Callithrix jacchus: one gene and its partners. The protein of the gene in region 3 interacts with the protein of the main gene of each other region in a pairwise test. Links are inferred from orthologs where the notes say so. Each region holds a gene or a part of one and is shown on either strand. Other genes may lie near its edges. The genes, in order: YTHDC1, ECE1, CLK2, LUZP4, PRPF38A, SNIP1 and RNPS1.

What was found.
Region 1: the proteins of CLK2 (region 3) and YTHDC1 interact in binary tests that used the Homo sapiens proteins (3 or more experiments, as listed by UniProt). The two-hybrid records come from large-scale screens. The link is inferred for Callithrix jacchus from reciprocal best matches to the Homo sapiens genes CLK2 and YTHDC1.
Region 2: the proteins of CLK2 (region 3) and ECE1 interact in binary tests that used the Homo sapiens proteins (3 or more experiments, as listed by UniProt). The two-hybrid records come from large-scale screens. The link is inferred for Callithrix jacchus from reciprocal best matches to the Homo sapiens genes CLK2 and ECE1.
Region 4: the proteins of CLK2 (region 3) and LUZP4 interact in binary tests that used the Homo sapiens proteins (3 or more experiments, as listed by UniProt). The two-hybrid records come from large-scale screens. The link is inferred for Callithrix jacchus from reciprocal best matches to the Homo sapiens genes CLK2 and LUZP4.
Region 5: the proteins of CLK2 (region 3) and PRPF38A interact in binary tests that used the Homo sapiens proteins (3 or more experiments, as listed by UniProt). The link is inferred for Callithrix jacchus from reciprocal best matches to the Homo sapiens genes CLK2 and PRPF38A.
Region 6: the proteins of CLK2 (region 3) and SNIP1 interact in binary tests that used the Homo sapiens proteins (3 or more experiments, as listed by UniProt). The two-hybrid records come from large-scale screens. The link is inferred for Callithrix jacchus from reciprocal best matches to the Homo sapiens genes CLK2 and SNIP1.
Region 7: the proteins of CLK2 (region 3) and RNPS1 interact in binary tests that used the Homo sapiens proteins (3 or more experiments, as listed by UniProt). The two-hybrid records come from large-scale screens. The link is inferred for Callithrix jacchus from reciprocal best matches to the Homo sapiens genes CLK2 and RNPS1.

What each region holds. Positions count from the first base shown.
Region 1 is NC_133504.1:129,082,542-129,086,835, reverse strand, and holds the start of YTHDC1 (YTH domain-containing protein 1), read right to left. Parts: upstream 2,801-4,294; 5' UTR 2,459-2,800; coding exon 2,431-2,458; intron 1-2,430. UniProt on the Homo sapiens protein: Regulator of alternative splicing that specifically recognizes and binds N6-methyladenosine (m6A)-containing RNAs.
Region 2 is NC_133508.1:58,137,503-58,141,002, forward strand, and holds part of ECE1 (endothelin-converting enzyme 1), read right to left. Parts: intron 2,901-3,500; coding exon 2,759-2,900; intron 1-2,758. UniProt on the Homo sapiens protein: Converts big endothelin-1 to endothelin-1.
Region 3 is NC_133519.1:15,701,450-15,705,394, reverse strand, and holds the start of CLK2 (dual specificity protein kinase CLK2), read left to right. Parts: upstream 1-1,145; 5' UTR 1,146-1,449; intron 1,450-2,240; 5' UTR 2,241-2,429; intron 2,430-3,118; coding exon 3,119-3,288; intron 3,289-3,945. UniProt on the Homo sapiens protein: Dual specificity kinase acting on both serine/threonine and tyrosine-containing substrates. Phosphorylates serine- and arginine-rich (SR) proteins of the spliceosomal complex.
Region 4 is NC_133524.1:111,522,001-111,526,219, reverse strand, and holds the start of LUZP4 (leucine zipper protein 4), read right to left. Parts: upstream 2,801-4,219; coding exon 2,794-2,800; intron 2,153-2,793; coding exon 2,018-2,152; intron 878-2,017; coding exon 759-877; intron 1-758. UniProt on the Homo sapiens protein: Export adapter involved in mRNA nuclear export in cancer cells. Binds and enhances the RNA-binding activity of the nuclear RNA export factor NXF1. Can restore mRNA export function in cells compromised by loss of mRNA export adapters.
Region 5 is NC_133508.1:89,575,020-89,578,677, reverse strand, and holds the end of PRPF38A (pre-mRNA-splicing factor 38A), read left to right. Parts: intron 1-329; coding exon 330-442; intron 443-1,067; coding exon 1,068-1,094; intron 1,095-1,189; coding exon 1,190-1,308; intron 1,309-1,789; coding exon 1,790-1,838; intron 1,839-2,548; coding exon 2,549-2,591; 3' UTR 2,592-3,158; downstream 3,159-3,658. UniProt on the Homo sapiens protein: Involved in pre-mRNA splicing as a component of the spliceosome.
Region 6 is NC_133508.1:74,105,689-74,109,751, forward strand, and holds the start of SNIP1 (smad nuclear-interacting protein 1), read right to left. Parts: upstream 2,801-4,063; 5' UTR 2,737-2,800; coding exon 2,513-2,736; intron 1,300-2,512; coding exon 1,197-1,299; intron 1-1,196. UniProt on the Homo sapiens protein: Required for pre-mRNA splicing as component of the spliceosome. As a component of the minor spliceosome, involved in the splicing of U12-type introns in pre-mRNAs. Down-regulates NF-kappa-B signaling by competing with RELA for CREBBP/EP300 binding.
Region 7 is NC_133513.1:4,512,914-4,516,607, reverse strand, and holds the end of RNPS1 (RNA-binding protein with serine-rich domain 1), read right to left. Parts: exon of another isoform or gene 2,170-3,694; intron 2,149-2,169; coding exon 2,007-2,148; intron 1,370-2,006; coding exon 1,270-1,369; 3' UTR 501-1,269; downstream 1-500. UniProt on the Homo sapiens protein: Part of pre- and post-splicing multiprotein mRNP complexes. Auxiliary component of the splicing-dependent multiprotein exon junction complex (EJC) deposited at splice junction on mRNAs.

The DNA of each region.
Region 1 (4,294 bases), on a different chromosome or scaffold from region 3:
CGCTGTCCTAAGTAGTGTGATGAAATTACGTACCATCCCACTCCATCCTGCCTGGGAAGCCAATCGTCCCTCTGGTCAACATTTATCTGCACTGCATATGCTACCTGCCATTAGTCATTTAGTAACTGTCTCGGGTAGATCAACTATGCAGATATGGCAGTGCCAGTGTTCAAAGTAACCCTTACTTTACTCATTAATGGCCCCTTTCAAATCCAGTTTCTTAGGCAAATAATCACCACAGGAATCACAGGGAGCTAGCAATCTGTCCAGTTACATAGGCTTCAGCTTGTAAGTATTGAGTATTATAGAAGCATTATTATTGAATGATTATAGAAATTAATGTCTTTATTACCCAGATCAGGCTCAAAAACCTCGTAACTGAAGAACTCTATCACCAAGGCTTTTGACTGTTCTGTAATAATGGAATCATTTGAGAAGGAACTTAACATTTGTGACAGACTGAGATTTTTATAGGGTTTATCCTTATAATTTCCTATTTCATGTAAGACAATAAAGTACTTCCAGTCCCACTTTTCTTTAAGACAGGAAGAGCCAAGTATTGATTCTAACTCTAACTATAAAGCTAGCTGTATGTTGATCAAGTAAATGATACGACCTGTAGGTTATATAGAACTCTCCCAAAACGAAATAAACAATTTCAGTAGGTATGTGCTAGTTCTTCATGTAGCCCAGAAACAATCTTTGTTCTAAACTGTAAAGGACCTATATAAAAGTTTTTAAATAAAAAATTCTAAATAAAAAAATAAAAAGCAAATGTGAGGCAAAACACCTTATCAAAAGTGGGGAAATGTATCCCATATATTGCCAATAGGTGACATTACTACTTCCCAATTATAGCTGCTATAGAGTTTATGTATTTGTATTGCACTATCATCACTAAATCATTTCCAAAGCAAAACTTTTAAAATCATCTACTTTTCTTCTCCAATGTGCATTACTAGGTCTACCCTATGAATGACTTGTAAATATTTTCATTTTAGACAATGAATTCTTGAGAAGTACTGAATGTTACTCACTTTTGTGTTTGGTTCATTTCTCCTATTAAAACCACTACAGACTCCAGTATCAACAACTCGTAAATTATAAAGACAATCAGATGTTTGCTGAATACTAATCAAGATAATCTATTTTAATAACTGAGCTACCTAATTAAAAGCAGTTTCCTTTACTCACTAACACCATGCAACCCTAAGTTCACATTCCTTCTGGATTTCTTAAAAAAAAAAAAAAAAAAAAAAAGCCAAGGGAGATTTTTTAAACATATTCCCACCCACTCCACTTCCCAAGCTTGTCCCTATCCTAGGGCAGTTCACTGAAGCGTGAAGACTCTCCTGATGTAGAAACCAGAAAAATTAAGAAAAAGGATCACAGGCCTAATGTAACTTGACTCTAAAGCGCACTTAACAAACCCCCACACGAATCTCCCAAATCGATTAGCCACACGGAAGAGATCTGTGCGATACAGAAAAGTGACTGTGGTCATATTTTTAACTATGATCTTCCCAAGACTATTATGTTAATCTTAGGGTTGAAAAAGATCTTAAAGTAGCATTTAATCTAGATCACTCTCCAAACAGATATTGATCCACGACCTACATTAACATCTAGGGCTTGGGAGCTCAGTATATCTCTCCATTTTAGCAACATCAGTTCTCACTACATTTCACTAAAATTTACCCCTCCAACTCTCTATAACTTGAACCCATTTGTTTCTGATTGTAACCTCTGGGAGCTACACACGTTTTTTTAGCATAAACCCAGGATTTCTGTGCCAGCCTAAGTCACATGGTTATCTTTCCAAACTAAGTAGTATCCGTTTTTCCAAGTACGATGTTTTACCAAAATAAGTATTCGAGGAACAAAACGGGTAATTCACTTTGCTTATTTCACAGGAACAGTCAGAAGTTACCTGCAGCTATTTCTCGAGATGTATAATCTGCCAGCGCCACTTTAATCTTAAACATGCTCACTTACCACACTACAAGTGTTGATCGCGGCATTAGGGGTTTTCAAATTTTAGCCTAACAGAAATAGCTGTCCTGAAAATACGCATTACATCCCCATGATCCTACCAGGAAATAAAACTAGGAGCCTGCAACTCAGAAAGGCCCCCTCTCAGCCGCGCCCAGGACAGCTAAACGGAAAGTCAAGCGTGAAATCCGGATGAAAGAAAAACCCTACGCGAGATGAAGTGCTAGGCCATATGGAGACCGAGGACGAAAGGGCAGGCCTGGTCTCCGTCAGTAAGTCCCAGTGTGTCGGTGGGGTCGACCGGCTCCTCGAGAGGCAAGCTAACCTTACCAACCCCACCCCCCACTCCCGCCCCTCCCCTCAACGAAGACCACCGCTCCATCACCCCGCTCCCGAGCCCCAGCCCCGCCTCCGCCCGTCACCTTTCTCCGCACTAACCTTTCTCCTCCCGACTGTCGGCCGCCATTGCTCCCCTCCGGTTTCCGCCGCTGCCGCCGCCGCCGCTTAGACGCGACTCGCGCGGACGCCGCAGCCGCGGCAGCAGAGGCACGGGCCGGTCCGTCGGTCCGTCCGCCCGGCTGCGCGCCTCGCACCTGGCCTCCTAACACTCACCCTTCTCGACTCTTCCCGCTTACTCCCTTTCTCCCTTCCTTCCTTTCACTCCAGCCTCCAGAGGCCTAGGGCCAGCCTTCTCGTTAGGGCTCAGATACGGGCGAGGGTATGGGGGAGGGAAGGGAAACAGATGGCGACGGCGGGCGGCGCTAAAATGGAGCCTGCTTCCTGCGAGAAACAATCCCGCTCCCGAAATGCCCTGCGCTGTTTACGCTTCGTTCCTCTCTGGCAACGTCACAGTGCGGAGAGGGGCGGGGAGGCGGGACGTCCAAGAGAACGTGACATGACGTCAGCACGTCGCCTTGCTGCCCTCAGCTCACTTGTACCTGGAAGGAGTCTTATGCAGAGATTAGGTTTCCCAGGTTGTTTGTGGAGTTTCTGCTATGCTGCCTTTACCCAGATTGGGCAGTTTTCTTACGGGAAACCCCTAGTGGAGGACCTGACAGGCCTTAGCTAGAGTCGCTCTAGAGTACTTCTGATTCAGTTCAGGAAATTGGCATCTTATTTAGAAACAGTCTGGGCGAATTTACCCGTGGTATTTTCTTAGTTGGGGTCCCAACTTTGGGTTACCCAAAAGCAGTGCTGCGTGCAACCTGTTCATTTGTAGTTGCAAACGCCTACTAGTTTTTTGTTTTGTTTTGTGTATTTGAGATGGAGTCTCGCTCTGTTGCCCTGGCTGGAGTGCAGTGGCAGGATCTCGGCTCACTGCAACCTCCGCCTCCTGGGTTCAAGCGATTCTCCTGTCTCAGCCTCCCAAGTAGCTGGGACTACAGGCACACGCAAATGCACTCGGCTAATTTTTATATTTTTAGTAGAGACGTCGTGTTGGCCAGGATGATCTTTATCTCTTGACATCGTGATCCGCCCTCCTCTGCCTCCCAAAGTGCTGGGGTTACAGAGTGAACCACGCCTACGGCCTAGTTTTGGTTTTAATTGTGGAAAGAATTATATCCAATACATCTTTGTAATTAACAACAAATTTGAACATGTATCAAGGCCCTGGGGCAAACAATTGATTTAAGTAGACCATTGAGGAATTGAAACTACGGAAGTGACCAATAAATACATAACTACATAGTGTAGTAAATCTGTAAGAGAAACTTGCCTAAGAATCATTGTCCAACGTAAGAAAATCTGATTTTGCTTCACTGCACTATAACTAAGTTATAACGGAAAGAAAAATGTGAAAAAAGGTAACCTCGTGATATGAAGACAAACTGACAACTAATAGCTTGTTCAGAGAAAGGTAAATGTAGAACGTGGTACCTTTTTTTTTTTTTTTTTTTTTTTTGAGACTTGGTCTCACCACGGCTTGATTGCAGTATGATGATGATGGCTCACTGCAACCTTGGGCTCAAGTGATCCTCCCACCTTAGCCTCCCGGCTAGCTGGAACTACAAGTATGCTCCAGCACACCCGGCACATTTTTTGCATTTTTTGTGGAGATGGGGTTAGTCATGTTGCCCAGGCTGGTCTTGAACTCCTGGGCTCCAGCAGCCCTCCCAAAGTGCTGGGATTATAGGTGTGGAGCCACCAGGACTGGCCCGTTTCTAGGACTTTAATTGAACACTAATTTGGATATATCACACACAAGCGCGTGCGCGCTAAATACTGAATAGCTGATGATCCTGAGGAATTGCTATTTGTATTATTAGTTGTAATAGGGTATGTTTTTTGAAAGATTTTTTAT
Region 2 (3,500 bases), on a different chromosome or scaffold from region 3:
GAAAGACCTTATTCAACACTTGTTTACCACCTGCAGAGGCAGCAAACATTTCTTCCCTTTGGGACATGCACGATCAATAAGAAGTCAGGAACAGATCCTAGATTTAATTTACACACACTCATCTGGAGAGTTCCTGGTCTCAAAACTGTGTAGGATGCTTCCTTTAAAATATCTTCTTGGAAAATGTATTGTTTGTTTTGCTGCCTCTGTTTGCAAAGCAGCAGCATGTTTCCGGAAGGGGAAGTGCAGTAGAAAGGTAAGTAAAAATGTACTAAGTGCCCAGACATTCCCAGAGGCTAGCCTTTCACAATCATCAGAAGATTTGCATTTTTATTCTATTTTATTTTAAACAGTCTTGCTCTGTCGCCCAGGCTGGAGTATAGTGGTGTGATCTTGGCTCACTGCAATCTCCACCTCCCAGATTCAAGCAACTCTCCTGCCTCAGCCTCCCAGATGTGCACCACCATGCCTGGCTAACTTTTGTATTTTTAGTAGAGACAGGGTTTTGCCATATTGGTTAGGCTGGTCTCAAACTCTTGACCTCAGCTGGTCCGCCTACCTCAGCCTCCCAAAGTGCTAAGATTACAGGCATGAGCCACCGCACCCGGCCAGATTTGCTTTGACTGGCTGGATGTTTGCTCAGACGTGGCCAGCATGGGCATCTGTTCCTGGGTAACGAGGTTACTGTCAATATCTGGGGTGGCCACTGCTTTCCCAGGTGGCTCAGAGGTCACCTGATCCTCTGGCCAGCTCTACTCCAGGGGAAGAATGTTCCTCTCCCAGGTCCAGGCTGCAGAAAACCTTTCTGAGACCCTGAGAGTGACACAACAGAGGCAGAAGCAGGATTCCTCCCAAGGGGCCCCACCAGGCAATAACAATAGAAATGTTTTGGGTCTGATCATCAGGAGCTGGCCCTTGGGGACTACCTCCGAGTTTCCAGTGAAGACATATCTTGGGGACTCCCAGGGACAGTCTCAGGGCAACACTGGCTGCCTGAGTCTGACCTGCTCCTGCTGCTCTGAGACAAGAGCTGTGCAGATGGAGCTGGCCAGGGCCCACACTGACCAGCAGGCGGTTCTGAACTACAGCCGATTCAGGATGAGGCGAGAAGATAGTGGCAGGAGAAGATAATGAGCTTATGTCCTGTTGGTAGAGGAGACACACACACACACACCAGGACACAATCACACAACACACACACTCAGCAGAAAAAGACTGTTTCCAGCTTGATCTTCCTTCTTACCCCTTTGTTCATTCAAACATTATTCATTTTACTACCTGCACACCTATGGCATAGGCACTATGCTAAGCACACGTGGTTAAGGGCCTGAAAACGAGTCATTAATTAATCAAATATGCAGTAAGCACCTGCTGAGCCAGGCACATTTGGTAAAACACCTATAAACCATTAGATAGTCAGTTAACTAATCAAGCAATTAGTTCTTAAGTACAACCTATGTTTGTGGAATGAGTGAATACCTATGTGCCTAACCCAGGAGAGATGGAAGAACAACTCATCCATGGGGGCCTGCTCTTTTCTAGGCCCCCAAGTCCCCTCCCCACCCCAGCACACTGTGGCCACCCTCGAGGGCCAGCAACTTCAGAGCAGGGAAGGTTCAACACAGCATGGAGGGGAGGTTTCCAGATCCCCTGAATGCTCCTAATCTCTCTCATGAGGTGAGTGACTGAGTCAGTGGGTGTATGCTGAGAAGAGGCCCCAGAGGCTGCTCAACCAGGTGAACCATCTGCCATCAGAAAAACAGATGCTGGGGCACACGGGACTGAGAGATCCTGGAGTTGGCTAACTCCCTATCCTCCTTTCTAACTTGGATCCAGCCTTTCCAACTTTGTAAGTGTTCACTGAGCATCAACTCTGTGTGAGGCACCTGGCTGGATCAGCTCAGTTGGACACAGAGAACCAGTCTCAGCCTCTACAGCAGGATCAGTGGGGCGCGACTGTATCACCTTTCAAAGTGAGACAGACAAAGGCACCTACCAAGGAACACAAAGGGCAGCTGGATCCCGGAAGGGCAGCTCTCCAGGGGGTGCTAATGCGCTCTGGAGCATACCAGGACTACAAAGGGAGGTGGAGCCCGGGCTGGAGCCCAGTAGCCTGTGGGTGAATTCCAACCTCCGAATTCAAGTGCCCACTCAATCCCCCATTAGCCACGTAACCTTGAGCAAGTCACTCCACCTCAGTGCCTCAGTTTCCTAATAATGGAAAGGGGGCCAAAAGTAACCCCACCTCACAGGGCTGTCTCGAGGAGGAAATGAGAAGCGAGGGGTGAGGTATTTGGTCTGAGGAACAAATTCAGTAAACAGAGGGCACTACTGTTACTTTATTGGAACTAAAGACGGCAGACGGTGTCAGCCTATGTTGTGTAATTACCCCACATCCCAGCAGCAACAGCACCCAGAGCTGACGCTGAAGAAGTCCAGCTACGTGGCATAAGTTATCTATAGTTGCAGAGCCTTCCCCCAATTAGGCACTGTCATGGGCTGAGAGAGTAAGTGACTTGTCCAAGGTCACACAGCCAGTACGTTGCTCGAATGTGGACTCAAGTGAGAGACCTTTATACCACCCATACTGCCCACTTCCCAGGTCTTGGCCCATCTCAGCACCCAGACGCCCCGGGACCAGCTCCCTCCTTGGCCTCAGAGGCCTGTCCCGGCTTAAGCAGGGAAGCCTCCCTTGCCCAAGTAGACAGAGCCGGGGCAGGAGTCAGTCAAGCCCACCATGTAACACAGAGGCACCTACTTGTCTGGTACTGGATGCCCAGTGCTGCCAAGCAGGCCACCAGTCCTGCCGCCAGAAGTGCCACCAGCACCACCAGCCGCTTCTCCACCTGGGTCCGTGCAGCCCAGCACCTCTGGCCACTCCCAGGGCTGTGGAAGTTCACCTGCAGGGAAGAAGGCAGGAGGGGCGGGGAAGATGTGAGCCCCCGGCCCCACTTCCCCAGGACTAAGGGGCTTCGCTGCAAGCCCAGGCCCTGGGGAGGCATCAGGGCCACCTCCTGTCTCAGGGGTGGTCTGGTTCCCACAGACTCAGCCCTACTCCAGGAAAGGAACCGCCACCCGGCTTAGCTGCTCAGATCTGCTCCCAAACATCGAGAGTCAAGCAGCTCGGCCCAGATAGGCTTGTGTTTTTTTGTGTCACTTGATATGAGTGGAAGGAAAAAAACTACAGTTTTTCACTGTTTCTCCAGTGAGGAGTTCAAAAGAGAACAGGATGTTTGGACTTGCAGGCATCCAGTGAGCACCCAGCTGGGCTCTCTGCAGAGCCCCCACATCACTGGGGTCAGGAACAGGATGACACAGCCACAGCTCACACTTCCCAGAAGCACGGACATCCTTAGCTCATTCAACCCTCGCAATCCCACTCGAGCTGCCTTGTTAATTCTCTTTTTATGAGTGAGGAAACTGAGGTCCAGAGAGGTAAGACCCTGGCTTCTCATCACCCAGCTGAATGGGGACAGCTGGGATTAGAACCCAAAGCTGTT
Region 3 (3,945 bases):
ACAGGTCACTGCAGCCTCAACCTCCCTAGGTTCAGTGATCCTCCCACCTCAGCCTTCCAAGTAGCTGGGACTACAGGTGGGAGACACCATGACTGGCTAATTTTGTTGTTGTTGTTTTTGAGACACAGTCTTACTCTGTCATCTAGGCTGGAGTGCAATGGCACCGTCTTGGCTCACTGCAACTTCCACCTCCCAGGTCCAGCAATTCTCATGCCTCAGCCTCCTGAGTAGCTGGGATTACAGCCACCGGCCACCACACCCAGCTAATTTTGGTATTTTTAGTAGAGACAGGGTTTCGCTATGTTGGCCAGGCTGTCTTGAACTCTTGTGCTCAAGTGATCTACCTGTCTCGGCCTCCCTAAGTGTTGGGATCACAGGCATGAGCCACCGCACTCTACCTAAATTTTGTATTTTTTGTAGAGTCTGGGTTTCACCCTGTTGCCCAGTCTGGTCTCAAACTTCTGTGTTCAAGTGTTCCACCATCTCTACAAGAAAAAATGTTTTTAAAAATTAGCCGGGCGCGGTAACACGCGCCTGTAGCAAACTCATATTTCTTACACATTATGTAAGCCACCTTAGGATACAGTTCTCAAGTGAGTCCCCCTTTTCGGCACACAATTCTCCATCCCTTCATTGCTCAAATCTTTCCTCCATGGCTTTGTCCCCACCCCCAGTGGTGCATAACTTTTGTTGATGACAAAAGGTGGCAAACTTCTGTCCTGGGGATAGGTAGGTCAAGTTTTAAGAAATGGTTATTTTCAGGCTATGCAGGAGAATGAGACTTCACCATCAAGCCTCACTAGAGTCAAGCTTGATGGTGAAGCCCGCCTGGAGCCAGGCTAGCAGCGACACTGTAAATGACAATCCTTTCTTTTAAACTCCAAACCTAACTAAGCCACGCGTCTCCATGCAAAGGGTAAAAGACTGAAGAGGGGGTGGGAAAGGATATGAGACGGAACGTAGCGGGCCTAGAAGGCTTCCAGCGCGTCCCAGTGGACCCTTCTTGCCCCTGAGAACTTCTGCCCCCAGTATCTCAGGGGTTCTGACAGACCGACGCCTGCCAGCTACGTGAGCACGTGGTGGCGCGCGCGGTGCTGGGGGCGGAGCCCAGCGGGTATCTGGGAAGCGACGCAGGACGTGCGTCCGTGCGTACGTGCTCGCTCTCGGCGGCGGCGGCGGAGCGGAGAGGCCAGAGCCGGAGACCGAGCTGGGATCGGGCCCCGGGCGGGGGCGGTGCGAGCGGCGCCAAGCAGATCTTAGGGGCGGGGACGGAGCCGGGGCGGGCGGGACTGAAGCGGAGCCCGGGAACGGGGCGGGAGGTCCCAGGGTCCCGGGTTGGGGGGGTGGAGCAGCACTTCGTCGCCGCGGTGGTGCCGGGACTCCGGCCGCAGTGCCGCCGCCATCACGGACTTCCTGTGGGACAAGCGCACGGGCCTCGCCGCCAGAACGGTGAGCGCGCGGGCTGGCTGGCCGCGGGGCCCGGCGAAAAGATGGCGACCGCGGGGCGGGCGGGGTTAGGCTTGGATTGGGGGCAAGGGACGGGGGCGAGATTTGGAGAGGAGGAGAGTTGAGACCTATGAAGGGGCAGAGTAGGGAGATGAGGAGGAAGGAGGTCGGCCTGCCTGGGATGTACGGAGAAGACCTATAGGAAACTTGGGCGGAGCCAGAGTAGAAGGGGTGATAAAGTAAGGATAAGAGTGGTTCCAGAGCTGTGAAGGAGCAGAATATCAAAGTTGGACTCAGGAGTCCAGTCAAAGCTGAAGGGGAGGAACCATGTCACTTGCAGCATGCAGGAAGAATTTGCCTGTAGGAGTTCTGGATTTTCTGAGTAAGGAAAAAGCAAACGATTTCGAACTTGAGAAAGGTAGGCTAGAGATTCTTTGAGGGTAAAGTACTGTGAGGCCATTTGATGGTAGTGTGTGGTGAGATGGCATTTATGTGACTATGCTAATTAGAATGGATTACCTGGGAATATACTGTGCTTGCCTCTTAGTATTTTACCGGCCCCAGTTACGCCAATAATGCATCAAATGCCACCCTCCTCAATTTGGGGAGGTTGGGAAGATAGGATGCAGAATGGGAGTCAGACATTGGAATCATTAAACCTTTTGCATACCCGATTCTCATGCACCCGCCCCCCCAACCCAGACTTCTGTCCCTGAGCCTGTTTCGTTTTACTCTGCCTTCCTATTCTCATCTTCCTGGATTGTGACAGTGATTTTTCTCTTTTTTCCTTGAAGGAAAAAAAGATTTGTGAACCATTCCATTAACTGGAAGGTGGCCAGCTCTCAGCCAAATAGGGCTGATATTAATTAAAAACCAGTTATTGTCTACGTCTTAAGAACAAGAGTGGAGGGGCCAGATGGGATGCTGACGGTAGTTGGTGGCCTACTGCATTAAAAGCTCTCAAGGGAGAGTCGACCAAAGATGTGAGAGATGATTAAGTTACTTCAAGGGGCCCGACCCAGATCCCTGGAACTGATAGTATTTGACATTTACCTGGTATATGTAGAAACCTGGGAGACTGGATTTCTACCCTCAGGACACTGATAGTTTACTTGGGGAGATAAGAGGTACTCTTAATGACTGTACAACATTGATCATAACTGTAAACCAAAGCTTTATTCTACTGGCTTGTGAGAAACTCAGCATCACACAAATCTGTATCTTAGATCCTGACCAGGGAGGAACTGTGGCAGTCTCCATCGGTCATCATACACTTTCCCCTGTAATGAACTGTGTGTCCTAGACCTGAAAGTCTTCATGGAGCTGTGTCTGGAGAAAATAAGGATAGAACACTTGAGCTGAGTGGGGGGTAATGAGGGATGCGTTTGGGGGCTTACTAGAGTTTCAGCCAGAGTTAGTAGGTGGCTGCACTCCAATAAGGAGGAATTGTAAGTCCAGAGGAAGACTGAGGAAGTTGTGCCTGGTAAAAAGAGGCAGAAATAAAAAAGCAGATCCATGCTGTAGCTTGGCCTTAAGAAAAAAGAGAGTCAAAAATGAAATTAAAAAAAAAAAAAAAGGAGAAAGCGGCTTAGCGTCTTTGGAGCAGCCACTCCTTGGAGGAGACTTCTGAAAACTCAGAACTTTCCTGTTTCCACTTTCCCTTCCTTTCCAGATGCCTCATCCTCGAAGGTACCATTCCTCAGAGCGAGGCAGCCGGGGGAGTTACCGTGAACACTATCGGAGCCGAAAGCATAAGCGACGAAGAAGTCGCTCCTGGTCAAGTAGTAGTGACCGCACACGACGGCGCCGGCGAGAGGATAGCTACCATGTCCGTTCTCGAAGGTGAGGCCTCAGGAAGAGAAACTCAAACACAGGGTCACTGGCTCGTTCATTTGTTCAGCAAATACTTACTGGTTGTATGCTGAAACCATTAAGTAGGTGGCTAACGGTAACGTCAGGATAGATAACCCAAGAAGCCATTTGTGCTGCAGTGTTAAGTGTTCCAATACATAGTGAGGAACTGAGGATGGAACCAGTGGGTTTGGTTAGAATGGGGCAGGCTGAGAAAACATTGCAGAGAAAGTGACATCTGCTTATGTCTGGAGGACAAGTAGGAGTGGGGTGGGGAAGTGTCTTGGCAGAGGGAAAGCATGTGCAAAGGACTGGGAGCTACAGGTAACTAATAAGCTAACAGATAAGACATTAGATCTTTGTGGTTTCAATGTTTTATTTTTTTGATAGACTTTTTTTTTCTTAAACTATACTTTTACGTTCTGGGGTATATGTGCAGAACATGCAGCTTTGTTACATAGGTATATATGTGCCATGGTGGTTTGCTGTATCCATCACCCCTGTTATGTACTTTAGGTATTTCTCCCTAATGTTATCCCTCCACCCCCATTTTATAAAATTTTTAAATATTATTTATTTATTTTTGAGACAGTCTTATTCTGTTGCCCAGGCTGGAGTGCAGTGGCGTGATCTCAGCTCACTGCAAGA
Region 4 (4,219 bases), on a different chromosome or scaffold from region 3:
AAATTCCATATGACCCAGCAATCCCCTTACTGGGTCTATACCCAAAGGATTATAAATCATTCTATTTAAAAAAAAACACATGCACATGTGTGTTCACAGCAGCACTGCTTACAATAGCAAAGACCTGGAACCAACCCAAATGCCCAGCGACAATATACTGGACAATGAGAAGGTGGCACATATACATCACAGAATAGTACGCAGCCATAAAAAATGAAGAGTTTGTGTCCTTTGTAGGGACATGGATGAATCTAGAAAGCATAATTCTCGGCAAACTGACACAAGAACAGAAAATCAAACACCGCATGTTCTCACTAACAGGCGGGTGTTGAACAATGAGAACACATGGACCCAGGAAGGGGAGCATCACACACTGGGGTCTATTGAGGGGTGGCCAAGGTAGGGACAGTGAGGGGTGGGGAGGTCAGGGAGGAATAACATGGGAGAAATGCCAGATGTAGGTGACGGGGGGATGGAGGCAGCAAACCACATTGCCATGTGTGTACCTATGCAACAATCCTGCATGATCTGCACATGTACCCCAGAACCTAAAGTACAATAATAATAAAAAAAATTAAAAAATAGTTGCAGGGGAAAAATCAACTACCAAACATTGAATTTAAATTATGTTCAAGGTACCTTGGAGGAATACCAAGAAACAATCCTTGCTTTCAATAGAATTTAAAGTAAATCATTAATATTAAAAATATATTAAATATAGGACTTTTTATATTGGTAAATTCTTGTTTTTTGTTTACCTGCTCAAATAAAGGCTTCCTATTTAAAGGGTGTTGTCCAGACTTCAATCCAGAAGGTTCTTGAGATGGTTTTTTATCATGATTTCCTTCCTCAAAGTTGCTTCTGAATCTTGAGTAGCCTTTGAACAATAAGCATTTTCTGTATTTTCAAGTAGTAAATTCAATGCATCTTTCAGAAGTATTATCTCTGATCTCATTTTTTTTTAAAAGCTATGCACTGGGTTTTGCAAAACTTTTGATTTTTCATTACTTTGATATAATCTGGTAATCTCACTGAATTCTAGAAGTCTTTGCCATACTATTTCAATTTGCACACCTTAATAGGATAGTCTCAGTACATATATCTCAATTTTGGTTTTATATGCCACCAAAGTTGGGACATACTATCTGAAATTAATTGAAAGAATACTCCAATAGAAAAAGGAGAGATAGAGAGAAAGTGTCTGCTTTGTTTGGGCATAAAGGCAGTTTAAGAAACCATCAAATAATATAGATCTCCAAAAGGCTCACGAAGAAGATCAATTTTGCAATGACTGTTTAGGCACATAAGAATGGGCCATGTTACCCTTCTTGGCTGCTCTGCCCTTATTATAAGTACCATCGCTTCTCTTTTCAGAACATGATGAGCCACTGAAGATTTACACAAGAACTTAAATGAAGCTGCATAGGCAACCATCAGGGGCTTAGAGTAATCACAATGTCAAAATGGTTTCAATCTATTGACTAGACTATGAAGACCTTTAATTGTTCAAAAGACTCCTTGTATTATGGCAATCTGTAGCACATTCATTTAAAAAAATACATACTGCACTTACCAATGAGGTTAGGAATACAGAGAACATCTGTCATGTTCTACCCTACTCTTGTTGTCCTACAACATTTGTATTTTCAAAATGTGGATGCCATAGTGTTCAGATTATTGACTATGCTCTTAACCCTCCTGTATTGCCTCCTAAAAGTAGAACTGGACCAACCAACCGAGGTTTGTAAACAAGTACAAAATATCTCTCAGCTCGTATGGCTAATTTTCTTATCCCATTCTCCATTAGGGAAGTAACTTATATACATTAAAATAAATTTTTATTCATATGACATGGCATAAATTCTTACCAACCCTGTATGGGTCCATGCCTAGAAAAAATAAAACAAGCAACATAATGTAACTTTAGAACAATGTGAATTCTTGATTTTGCTTACCTAGTTATTCACAAATATTTCAGACTCTTTTTACCATGTGTGACCATTTTTAACATATTTACCTCTCTGATGGCGATGTCCATGACCATTTGATTGTTGTCTTGAAGGCAAATCCTTTTTACTATGAATCTGTCTTGTATTCCTTTTTTCTATTTCAGCATTTATCTTTTCTAACTTTTTATAGAGTATAATGTCATCTGTATTAGAAAATACATAAAAAAGGAATAAAATGGCAAAAAACAAATTACAACGTCTCACATGAATAATCTATATCCTATCTCATCATATTTCAGAATACCAAAAAACTGATAACCCTAAAAGAAGATAACATAATAATAATGAATTTGTTAAATTATAATAAAGGTCAAACAATACAGACATCTTAGGGTTTGCTGGAACAAGAAAGAAAAATTCCTGTTGGATTTATGGTAACTTCATTTATGCAAAAGCAAAATACTTCCACATTGCAATAGCTGGGTGGGAGGTGGCGAAGATCATCTAAATAAATGATTTTACTAAATGTTATTTCAGTGTCATAGAAATACAGAGCAATAGAGTCATTATAGCACAGCTCACAGCTAAGTAAATGCAAATCAGCAATTAAATGTAAAGCGATAGACCATTAAATGTCTATCTGATTAAGTGTGATAGACAATTAGTTACATGCATTTTATCAAAAACTAACGAAGAAAAAGGAAGTGACAAAAGTAAGAAAGTGGTGATGGAAGTAGGAGACACCACAGAAGTGAGGAACCTAGATTATTGTATTAGGAGGAAGCAATCCGACTTTACTTTGTAGTCAGGCACGTACTTATGTACTCAGGCAGAGAGCACTTACATGGCATAATTTAAAGAATGGGGGACAGATACAACTTGAGGCAAGAAAAAAAAAAGGGTATTCAATTAGGAAAAGAGGAAGTGAAATTTTCTCTATTTGCAGACATGATTGCATATTTAAAAGACCCTATCATCTCAGCCCCAAATCTCTTTAAACTGATAAGTAACTTCAGCAGTCTCAGTATACAAAATCAATAAGCAGAAACCACAAGCATTTCTATACACCAATAACAGACTAACAGAGAGCCAAATCATGAGCAAACTCCCATTCACAATTGCTACAAAGAGAATAAAATACTTAGGAATACAACTAACAAAGGATGTAAAGGACCTCTTCAAGGAGAACTGCAAACCACTGCTCAAGGAAATAAGAGAGGACACAAACAGATGGAGAAACATTCCATGCTCATGGTTGGGAAGAATCAATATCATGAAAATGGCCAAACTGTCCAAAGTAATTTATAGATTCAACGCTATCTCCATGAAGCTACCAATGACCTTCTTCACAGAATTGGAAAAAAACCACCTTAAACTTCATATGGAACCAAAAGAGAGTCCGCCTAGCCAAGACAATCCTAAGCAAGAAGAACAAAGCCAGAGGCATCATGCTACCTGATTTCAAACTATACTACAAGGCTACAGTAATCAAAACAGCATAGTACTGGTACCAAAACAGAGATATAGACCAATGGAACACAACAGAGGCCCTGGAGGCAATGCCACACATCTACAACTATCTGATCTTTGACAAATCTGACAAAAACAAGCAATAGGGAAAGGATTCCCTGTTTAATAAATGGTATTGGGAAAACTGGCTAGCCAAGTGCAGAAAGCAGAAACTGGACCCCTTCCTGACACCTTACACTAGAATTAACTCCAGATAGATTAAAGACTTAAACATAAGACATAACAGCATAAAAACCCTAGAAGAAAACCTAGGCAACACCATTCAGGACATAGGCATAGGCAAGGACTTCATGACTAAAACACCAAAAGCATTGGCAACAAAAGCCAAAATAGACAAATGGGACCTAATTAAACTCCAGAGCTTCTGTACAGCAAAAGAAACAATCATTAGAGTGAACCGGCAACCAACAGAATGGAAAAAAATTTTTGCAATCTACCCATCTGTCAAAGGGCTAATATCTGGAATCTACAAAGAACTGTAACAGATTTACAAGAAAAAAACACATAACCCCATCCAAAAGTGGTGAAGGATATGAACAGACACTTTTCAAAAGAAGACATATATGAGGCCAACAAACATGAAAAAACACTCATAATCACTAATTATTAGAGAAATAAAAATCAAAACCACATTGAGATACCACCTCACACCAGTTAGAATGGTGATTGTTAAAAAATCTGGAGACAACAGATGCTGGAGAGGATGTGGAGAAATAGGAACACTTTTACACTGTTGGTGG
Region 5 (3,658 bases), on a different chromosome or scaffold from region 3:
CTAAGTACCTGGAACTACAGGCACATGCCACCACGTCTGGCTGATTTTTGTATTTTTTTGTAGAGATGGGGTTTCACCATGTCTACAAAACATACACACACACACACACTCACTCACTCACACTCTCTCTCTCCGCTCCTGTTCCTATATAGCTCATAAGTTTTGTTAGTTAATAGGGTAAGTGCTTCCCTCTTTGTAATCAGATCACTGTGCTTTAAAGTCACTTGGAGATGGACTTTGGGACAAGATGTGGAGCAAAGTATAATTAGTGTTTCTAGTGGCTCCTTATGAGCTTGTGCCTATCAATGACCCAGCCATCTTGTTTCCAGTTGGAAAGAGTGCCATCACCTGATCACCGTCGGAGAAGCTACCGAGACTTGGACAAGCCCCGTCGCTCTCCCACACTGCGCTACAGAAGGAGTAGGAGTCGGTCTCCCAGAAGGTAAAGCCTTAGTCGTTGGCCTTTTCCCAGGAGATTTTGAGCACTATAGCCTAGAAGTTTGGATTTTAGAGAAGGAAAAATGACAGCCTATGGAGAATGTTTGCCCAGTATATTAGTTATCTGTTATTGTAACAACCACCTATAAAACCTCATTGGCAGACAACAATAACCATTTGTTTTGTTCAGAAGTCTGTGGTCAGTAATTTAAGCAGAGCTTGGATAGGCAGTTTTTTAAGTACCTGTTTTGTTGTTAGCTGTTTGCTGGCTACTATGGGATCGCCTTTGCTAGGATGACAGGGGAAGTTTCCCTTCTCTGTATCATCCTCCAGCAGGATAAGATGGGCATCTTTTCATGGTACTGGCAGAACTAAAGAGCAAATAAACCCAGTCATGCAGATATTTTTCTTGTATCTGCTTTTATCACGTTTGCAAATATCCCATTAGTCAAAGCAAGTCATGTGTCCAGTCCTAAAGTTAGAATGGGAGTGTGCTAGTGTTACATGACAAAAGACATGGATACAGAGAAGGGTGATACAGAGAAGGGTGAAGAATAAAATTGGGGCCGTTTTTGCAATCTGCAACATCCAGTGCACCAACCTAGGCTTTCTTTTTCCTCTCTTTATAGGCGAAGCCGATCTCCCAAAAGGAGAAGGTAGGCCTTCGGTCATTTTGATGAAGGACAGGGCTTTCGGGAGTGGGGGTGGTATTGGTTGGTGTTTTATGTATATTGCTAACCAGATCTGGTAGTTTGACCAGTCTTTTCTACAGCCCCTCCCCCCGTCGAGAAAGGCATCGAAGCAAGAGTCCAAGACGTCACCGCAGCAGGTCCCGAGATCGGCGGCACAGATCCCGTTCTAAGTCCCCAGGTAGAGCATTTGGGCCTTTTGCCACAGGTTCTCTTAACAAAGAAACATAAAAGGAGCAGTTAGCCTTCTGCAGTACAGGGTGCCTGACTGAACTGCGTAGCAGAAAAGGAAATGGACATAGAATCTGAAAATAAAGGTTCACAGCTTGTCACTTTTATAAGCCTTGCTGATAAGGTTTGCTTCTGTTTTTTCATCTGAAATTACAAGAATAAGATCTAACATAATAATAGAAACCCAATATGATGTTTGTGAAGTCAGCCATAAAGCCCTTGAATGAATGTATTTGTATTTGAACTGGTTTCGTTAGTACTTTCTTTGCTCCCTCTTCCTTCACTAATTCAGAGAGTTGCTACCACTAAGAGGTGTCCCCTGCATAGGCCAAAAAAAATATCAAGCCAACGGCAGACATTAGGGAGGTGAGAATGGGAGTTTAATAAGAATTGAAGGGTAGGATCTCATACAGTGGCCTTTTCTTCCCCAGGTCATCACCGTAGTCACAGACACAGGAGCCACTCCAAGTCTCCTGAAAGGTAATGAATTGACCTCTATTTTAACTTTATTCAGAAATAAAAGTCCCAATTATAACTAATCGGACCTGAAATTTTGTTTTGTTGGGGCATATTAGGAATTCTCCTTAATTACAAGATAAAATTGGTCTATTGCTTTGAAAATTACTGGGGCTAGAGACCCTTTTTCTTTGATACGGTTTCGCATTTATAGTTTTTTCTTATAAAGTTTCTCAACCTTTATTTTTAATGAAGGACGTGCTGAGTTTTGCCCAGGCTGGAGTGCAATGGCGTGAACTTGGCTTACTGCAACCTCTGTCTCCTGGGTTCAAGCAAGATACCCGTTTTGTTTTGTTTTGCTTTACAGGATTGCAGCTTTGGATAATGGATGAACTTTGGTCTTAGAAGACACGGAGTTTAGTCCCAGCTTTTAAAACTTAACAGTTGAGTGACCTTGGAAGAGTCACTTTCATTTAATAAGATTTCATTAGAAACCCCCATGTGCCACATACTGTTGGGTGCACTCTTAACCTCTGAGACGTGATTTCCTCAATGGTAAAATTTGGATAGTAACCCCTGATTCAAGAGTGTTGCTCTGAATCAAAAAAATACCAAGCAGTTTAATGAATATGGAGTGTTAGCTCCTTCCCCATTAGTGTCAGCATGCCAAGGTCCTTCTCAGAAGTCCCTGCCCAGATCCTTAATGTAATTATTTATATGTGTTTCCATTTCAGGTCTAAGAAGAGCCACAAGAAGAGCCGGAGAGGGAATGAGTAATGGACTCGGTTTGGTTGTAGTCCACATGGCCTCCTGTGGATATGAGGGTATCTGTCTATGTGGAAGGCTTAAGAACTCCCCAGGCAGCTACAAGAATATTTTAGTTTTTTTCTTATAAAGTTTCTCAACCTTTATTTTTAATGAAGGAGGTGCTGAGTTTTGTATCTCTTTTTAATCATCATTAACATCAGTTTTTGACCGAACTAACCTTGACTGTATTCAAACTTATGAGGGTGGAAAGGATCTGTAGGTTGAAGATACGAATGACAAGGAAAGGATGTGGCCACCTGATGACCCTTCTCCTTTTTATTAAACCAGACACATCTGTTTCCCATTTCTCTGTCATTTAGTTTTTGGTTTGCTGTAGTTAGAACTACTTTGAGAATCCTGGGATTTGTGCTGCTGCTATTATTCAAAGATATGAGTAAAACATAGTAGCTCCTAACTTTTTTCCAGCAGCAGCAAATGGTGATACACATGAAAACTGGTTAACAGTTTTGAAAGAACAGAATGCATTCAAATGTTAGGCTTCTGGATCATTAAAGCCAGTTTCATTGAACAGTTCAACAGAGTGGTACTTAATACCCTTTATACAGCCCATTTTTTCATAGTTCCATTGGTTCTTGCCCACAAACTTGAAATCCAGGTTAAGCTATCCAGCCTTTGTCATATAAGCATTGACATTATCCAGGACTACTCGGTAGCAGTAGGTAACAGGATTGAAAAAGATTTGATGGAGAGGAAAGTATCTAATACTAGTCATGGTTTTGATCTAAATTGCTAGACAAGAGTGCCATTTACAAAGTAGAAAATATAGCAGAAAGAGAAGCTTTTAGGGGGCAGAGTATTAGAGGATTGTGCTAGTAATGAAAGGGATGCATTCAATTTAACAAGTTTGAGACAGCTATGGTATAGCTAAAAAAAAAAAAAAAAAGCCCATAAAGTTGGAGATAGGCCAGAATTGACAATATTTTAAGTAATTGTGGAATCTGTCAATAAGACTGCACAGAGAGTGTTTATATCAGAAAAGCACATGAGAACCATAGACAACACTGGTGACAAGAAGT
Region 6 (4,063 bases), on a different chromosome or scaffold from region 3:
GTGCCCTCCAAAATTAGCTTGTTGAAGTACCAAACGCAAGTACCTCAGAATGTATTAATAGCCGTATTTGGAGATGAGGTCTTTACAGAGCTGATTAAGTTAAAATGAGCGTAGGGCCCTAATTCAATATGGCTGAGAAAAGACACCAGGACAGGAGAAAGATCATGTGAAGATGTAGTAAAAAGGTAGCCATCTACAAGCCAAGGAGAGAGGATGTTTTTCAGGAGAATCCAGACCTGCTAACATCCTCATCTTTGACTTCTAGCCTCCAGAATTACAAGAAAATGAATTTCTGTTGTTTAAACCACGTACTCTATGGCATTTCATTATGGTGGCCCTAGTAAACTAATACAGCCACTCTGGAAAACAGTCTGGTAATTGCTTAAAAAAATTAAACCTGCAACTACCATACAATCCAGCAATTGCACTTCTGAGCATTTATCCCAGAGAAATGAACTCTTATGTTCGCATATAATCCTATACACAAATGTCTATATAGCAGCTTTATGTGTAATAGCCAAAAAATGGAAACAAGCCAGATGTTCTTTAATGAGTGAGTGGCTAAATCCATGCTATTGGATATCACTCAGAAATAAAATGGAACAAACTACTGAGAGATGCAACCTGAATCAATCTCTGAAGGATTCTGCTGAGTGAAAAAAAGACAATCCTAAATTAGGTTACACATTGTATGATTCCATTTATGTAATATTCTTGAAATGAAAACATTACAGAAATGAAGAACAGATTAGAAGTTGCCAGAAGTTAAAGAATGATAAAGGTGGGAGATGAGTGGGTGTGGCTACAAAAGGAGAACAGGAGGTATTCCTTGTGGTGAAGGAAATGTTATCTTGACTATACTGATGTCAATATTCTGATGGTGATGCTGTACCACAGTTCTGTTATGAATAGATGTTACCACTGGGAGAAACCAGGCAGAGTATATCTCTCTGAATTATTTCTGACAACTGCATGTGAACCAACAATAATCTCAAAATAAAAAGGTGAATTTCAGCAAACAAGCAGAAAAAAAGAAATATACCCAATTTTCAGAAAAGCCCATTGGAAGTACAAGTAGAAATGTAGGCGAGTGTGCGTGCACACACACACACAACACACATACACAGCCCTCTCTAGCTATGATAGGAAAAGGCTCTCTATGTGGCCCCAACATCAAAACACCCCAATCCACTTACCTGCTTCACTTTGACTGTTGAGTGGTGAGGACTTCGGGTCCTCTTACTCCGAGGAGACTTGCTTCTTCTCCCTGAGGACTTGTTTTTCTTTTTGGGTGGGGACCTATACAAAGCATGGTACATACAGGATTTTACTCAATTTCCCTTCCCCCATAAAAATTAGCTTCCAGTATCAGGCTTACATACTAACACAAACACCACATTTGTGAAGGTCTCTGACAGACACATTATAGTCACGAGGTTCACTTTCCTAGCCCTAACATCTCCCTCGCATTCCACACTCACAAAGACAACTCTCTACTGAACCTTCTCACTTAGATAACATAGCTCTTAGTTCCCAAGCCTTCAAAAACCTTTCCTCTCCTACTCTTTGCCATCTTGTTAATTGGCATCACCATCCAGAAGTCACCTTTGACTCTTTACCCCTCACTACCAACACCCCTACCATCAATAACAATTTATCCATCCTGTGGTTCTGCTTCCTGCCTATACCATCTCATTCCTACCACCCACCTGCTTGACCACTATACTCCACTGACACTGGCTTTTTCCCATTTCAATCATGATTCATTCTACTTCAAGTGCTTTGCACATGTTGTTTCCTCTGCCTGGATCTTTCAGAGGCTGGATCATTCCTATCAGTCAGGTCGCAGTTCAAATGGCACCTCTTTAGAGGCCTCCTCCCTCTTCTCTCCAATCTCTCACTATCACAGTACTGTTTTAACCTGTCAATAATACTTGTTACTAACTGAAACCCACTTTATTTATTTCTTGTTATTGTCTGTCTCAGGGCTAGATTTGGAAACGGTGAAGACCATCTAACTGAATCACCCTTGCAGCCCCAAAACCTAGGGCAGTCTTTTAACACTTAACAGGCACTCAGTAAAACTACGCTGAAGGAACGCATAAATCTATGTGAACTTTTTTTTTTAGTTTCTGTCGACGTGAAAACTTTTTGGGCAGGTAATTGTAAAGACAACGCCCGCACTCCATTCCTCCATTCGGGATGAGGAGAATCTCATTCCAATTTAACAGATTATCTGTGCTACCTGCTGAGCCACACTTTGCAAAGTGCTGGGGACACAAGAATGGAGGGACGGGATCCTGCCAGTTAGGCATTAGGCGTTGAACACCGAGCTATCATGCAAGTGACTGAGCAAGCATAACACAGGCACGACTGGATCACTCTCAACCGCCTCTGGATTAGGTCCGGGCTAGCTGCGCCCAGCATTCAAAACCCGTTTCGGACGCTAGCCCTGCCCGCCTTTCTGAATGAGCCCAACCCTAGGTCCATCCTGGGCTGCTCCCCCACTTACCGGCTAACTCCTCGGGCTCGGTTCCCGCGGTGGCCCGGGCGGCTCGGCTCGCTGGCCGGCGGGGAAGGGCTACCGCCGGAGTGGTCCGGACGACGGTGGGCGGGAGGGGCGGCTTCCGGGCTGAGACGCTCCTGCTTCACCACCACCGTCGCCGGCAGCACCACATCCACGTCCCGGTGTCTTCGCCGGCTCCCTCGCTCCCGTTCGCTCTTCACCGCCTTCATTCTGTGATTTTGCCTGAGCGAAAGAAAACAGATCCGTTGAGCTCCTCTAGCTGAAGGAAATGACGTGTTTGACTCCTGGATTTCCGCTTCCGGGGTGCCCCGGTTCCCATATATCTTCGCGGCAGAGAGATTAAACAGGTGACGACTCCCCAGTGAGCGTGGTCAGTGACTAGGTTTGGTGGCAGGAGTTTCGGGTTTCAAAAACAAACTTCTGGCCTGGCGCGGGGGCTCACGTCTGTAATCCCAGCACTTTGGGAGGCCGAGGCTGGCGGATCACCTGAGGTCAGGCGAGCATCCTCGCCAACACGGTGAAACCCCGTCTCTACTAATGATACAAAACAATTAGCTGGGCATGGGGGCGTGCGCCTGTAATCCCAGCTACTCGGGAGGCTGAGGCAGGAGAATCGCATGCACCCGGGAGGCGGAGGTTGCAGTTGCAGTGAGCTGATTGCGTCACCGCACTCCAGTCTGGGCTACAAGAACGAAACCGTCTCAAAAAAAAAAAAAAAAAAGAGCAGGGCTGGGCGTGGTGGCTCACGCCAGCACTTTCGTAGGCTGAGGCAGGCGGATCACTTGAGGTCGGGGGTTCGAGACCAGCCTGGCCAACACGGTGAAACCCTGTCTCTACTAAAAATACAAAAATTAGCCTGGTATGGTGGTGCAAACCTATAATCCCAGCTATTTAGGAGGCTGAGGCAAGAGAATCGCTTGAACCCAGGAGGCGTAGGTTGCAGCGTGCGGGGATTGCACCACAGCACTTCAGCCTGGGTGACAGAGACATCACAAAAAAAAAAAAAAAACCTGGAAAAAAGCAAACTTCTCAAGGCTGTTTGTTGCCACGTTATTAGTAATTACAAAACGTGAAAACAATGTAAATGCTCAGCAATAGGGAAGTTAGCCAAATTAATGGGTGTTATGTGGCCATTAGTAAACCATTTACAAACTCTAAAACATGTTAACGATAAAGCAGGATACAAAATTGTGCACAAACTGTAATTACATTTACATTTGGAAATAGAAGGGAGAAAGAAATGGAAATGCAATCAGAGATGAGAACCCATGGTCAAATCATTAGCGTTTCCTCTTCTGTTTAATAAACTTTCTGCAATGCTGTTGGGGCTCAGAAACTGAAACCCCAAAATAAGGCACATTGACTTGCTGAACTGAAGAAGCCTCGATGTTCCTTCCTTGAATCCACCGTCTCTCCCAAAGCACAGGACTTTATCTGTCTAATATCCAGACTACCAAAAGGAATAATTGTTTCTTTCTTCTCCTCCCAATAATGTAATCACACCTGACCAGAGACCCTTATACTGTCAAAAGAGCT
Region 7 (3,694 bases), on a different chromosome or scaffold from region 3:
CCGACCACTGGGAGCACCGGGCAGTGAGGTCCCAAGCAGTGTTCAGTGGTCTCAACTTTGGTTCTTAAGATGTTAAGCATTTAAGATTCTTCCTTGTGTCCCAAACCAATTTCTGAGGTGGAGAAATGGCCCCCTGATGGAGGAGGAAGCAAGCCTGGCATGGCGACGCAAGCCTGGCATGGCGACACATGCCTGTAATCCCAGTGACTCAGGACCAAGGGGCAACACAGCAACACCCCGTTGCTACGAAATATTTACCCCCCTCCCCACACACACTCTCTTCATGTTTCCGGTCGGGTAGAAGTTCCAGCTTCAGAGAAGGTAATAAAACACCTCATTCTCCTGTTTGTCCACCATAGGGGCAACCTAATACCCACAGCACACAAACCCTAGGTTCTCCTGCCTGAAAGCACTGGAGGTGCCACTGTGGATCACGAGTAACAGAAAGCTACCAAGGGGGCGAGGGAGCAGTGAGAAGGCAGTGAACCCAGTACTAGACCTGCATTCCACTCCTGCATTTATTTAACACAATTCTTCCGCTCTACACAACAAAGTACAAACACAGTGTCATCTAAAATGCTACAAAGTTTTAAAACTCAAACAAATTTTATAGTACTGACTGTACAATAAAAGCAAAAAAAAAAAAAAAAAAAAGCAATGTACATGTTGCCAAGATAACCTGAAGGGCAGGCACAGCGGGGGCTGCATGGTGACCCAGCAAAGCTGGCTCTCAACTCACTCATCAGTTTCACAGTAGGGCGATGGGGTGGGGTGTGTGCATGGGTGCAGACAGAGAGAACCATGCACAGCGACTACCGTGGGTGAGAGGCTCTCCAGGGCTGTGTGACCCTGTGTCAGAAGAGGCCTTGAGAGGCCAGGCCTAACAGGCTTGGCAGCTGCGCTAAAGCCCAGGACAGCTCCCTTTTCAAAAGGACACTGTGGGAAATGTGTGCTCCCAGGCAGGCAGATCACACAACTCCCCCAGAGCCTCACTCATCCCTGGTGGCTCTGTCACTGAACTGACTCTCAGAAACTGAAAATGGGTGAGCTTTCTAGCCAGAAACTCGGCGGGTATCTTGGCAGGCACAACACACACCAACGGCACTTCTGCAGCCAGAGCCCAGTCGGCAGAGGGGTGCTGCCTGCTGCCTGCAATGCCTGCCCAAGTGAGGGGGTTTGCTTTCCTACTGATCTTCCTTTGGCTAGAAAAGTGACAAAACTGAGCTGGGTGGGGTATAAGTTACAGGGGTGAGAGATCCAGTGGCATGCTTAACGGGAGGAGTTGGAGCTGGAGCGGCTCCTGTGGCGGCGGCGGCCTGGGGAGCGTGATCGCCGACGCACAGGGGACCTGCGCCTTGGGGAGCGGGATCTGCAGGAAGAGGAGAAACCACATCAGAGGAGTTCAGACTGTAGGGCAAGCTAGCTTCTTTCTGGGCAATTCTCCACAGTTTTACTTTTTGGTACTAGAAGTTGGGACAGGTCCCACCTGATGGGCCTGCCCCTGAGCTCTTGGGAATGGGTGCTCATGAGACCCAAGGCAGAAGCCCAGGCTTCCTTCCTCTTCCCCAAAGGCTGAAAGCATAGCTCACGACTGGCAAGAGAAGGCCAAACTGTGGCCTTTGGCAAGGGATTACCACCCCCACCTCCCACCAACTCCTCTGACACCCAACTTCCTCCTCTCCTAGCCCTTCTTGTTAGCTCAGAAAAAAGTGGGCCTGCACCTGGGCTCACAGGTCTAACGGTCTCCTGGGAAGGCCACGTCATGCCACGTCACTGCTCAGACTTAGAAAGTTGTGTTGGTGCACGCTAGGGCCTCTCCTGCCTGCTGCTCACTGCAGCCGTGCCCGTCCTGCTTTCCCCATGAGCTCTGAAGGGCTACTACTCTCTGCTACCCCTAACCCACACAGCAGCAGAAGGCAGGCAGGGCTGAATAAAGGGTCCCTAAGTCACTGCGGTCACATGAGGTTTGTGGCCTGATCAGTTCACTGAAACTACACTTTGTTTACCTTCTCCTCATCCGTGGGGGAGACCTGCGCCACATGGGTGGTGGCGGCAGCATTCTCCTGGGAGGGCTGAATCGCCTGGGGGGTGGTCTAGGCCAGGGTGCCAGCACAGCGGTGGCAGTGATCTCCTGGCCATCAATTTGTCCTGTTGAAAAAGAGAGCAAGTCATAAAATATCTAGCAAGCATCTCCCTACACAAAGCATGTCACAGTGAACAACAGGCCTGGGGGACAATGACTAATCACAGAAATAACGTCATGAGTACCATGTCATGAGGAAAGGCGTCAGGGAACATGAAAGGAGACACCGATGGTGTCAAGGCATCCTCCCACATCTAAACTGACGCAGGCCAAGAGCTAAAGAACGTGCTGGAGGTCAGGCGCAGTGCTCAGCCCTGTAATCCCAGCACCGAAAGGCTGAGGCGGGCAAATCACAAGGTCAGGAGTTCCACACCAGCCAATATGGTGAAACCCCTTCTCCACTAAAAATTCAAAAAATTAGCGAGGTGTGGTGGTGCACGTCTGTAATTGCAGCTACTTGCGGGGCTGAGAATGTCTTGAACCTGGGGCAGACGTTGCAGTGAGCTGAGATCACACCACTGCACTCCAGCCTGGGTAACAGAGTGAGAGAGTTTGTCTCAAAAAAAAGGAAGAAAAAGTGCTGAAATCCACTAGGTGGAAGAGAAGGGATATATGCCTTGCCCTGCGCTGTGAAGGACCCACAGTGCTGTGAGAGAAGGCAGCAGCGAGAGCAAGTGACAGGCAGAAGGAAGGAGGGTCAGGGTGGGGCCTCCTCGCAGGGCATTGCAGGTGCTATCTACCTTTGCGCTACCTTCTCCTACAAAGGGGCCAGGAGAAGGGGAGACCTGGTAGCAGGGCTCTGTGGCATGAATCAACTGAGGGGCATGAATCATCATCAAATGAAATGGTAGGAAAGGGAAAGGATTCAGGGCTAACTGGGAAGTGAAGTTGCCAAGCTTGGTGGACGGGATGAGGTGGTGAGGGACAGTCAAGATGAGCTTCCATTCGTGGAGAGGTGGGACTCCAGTGGGGAGCAGCATGAAGGAAGTTTCACGAACTGTGAAACTGTGTTTGGAAACAAGCAGTCTGAGAGGCGGCTCTCTGAATGTGAACGGCACTGAAACACAGGTCATGTGCTGCAATGGGGTGGCAAGAAGTGAGGAGAAGGGCTCCAGGGAGAGAGGAAAGGAAACGGAGGTGCAAACCCAGGAACCCCAGGGCAGCATGTGTCCCAACCTCAAGAACTGTCCGGTAGCTGGGGATACCAGGAACCCAAGCGCAGCCCCTTCTGTGCCCTAAAGGGTGAAGGGCTCTTTTGTCTTCTCAGTTCCCACCTTCAAGGCACCTTCAAAGTGCATGGGGTACTAACTTGGGCACGTAGATACATATTCAGAACATACTTAAGAGGTTTAACTTCAATAAACTCAGCCTAAGTTAGCCCAAATTAGGGATTTCACAGCACTGACTCTAGAATGAAGAAAAATCTGTCTTCTGTCTAGCTACCAGTGAAGGCCAACCCCTGCTCATTTTCTCTTGGACACAGCGTGGACTCACTCCATTCAATGACAGTACGGGGACACACACAAAAATCCTAGCAGAATCTTAAGAAAAGCTGGAATGTCTATAGTCATGCCCACCTATAAGATACCCGGATCCCCTTGGTTTTTAGCT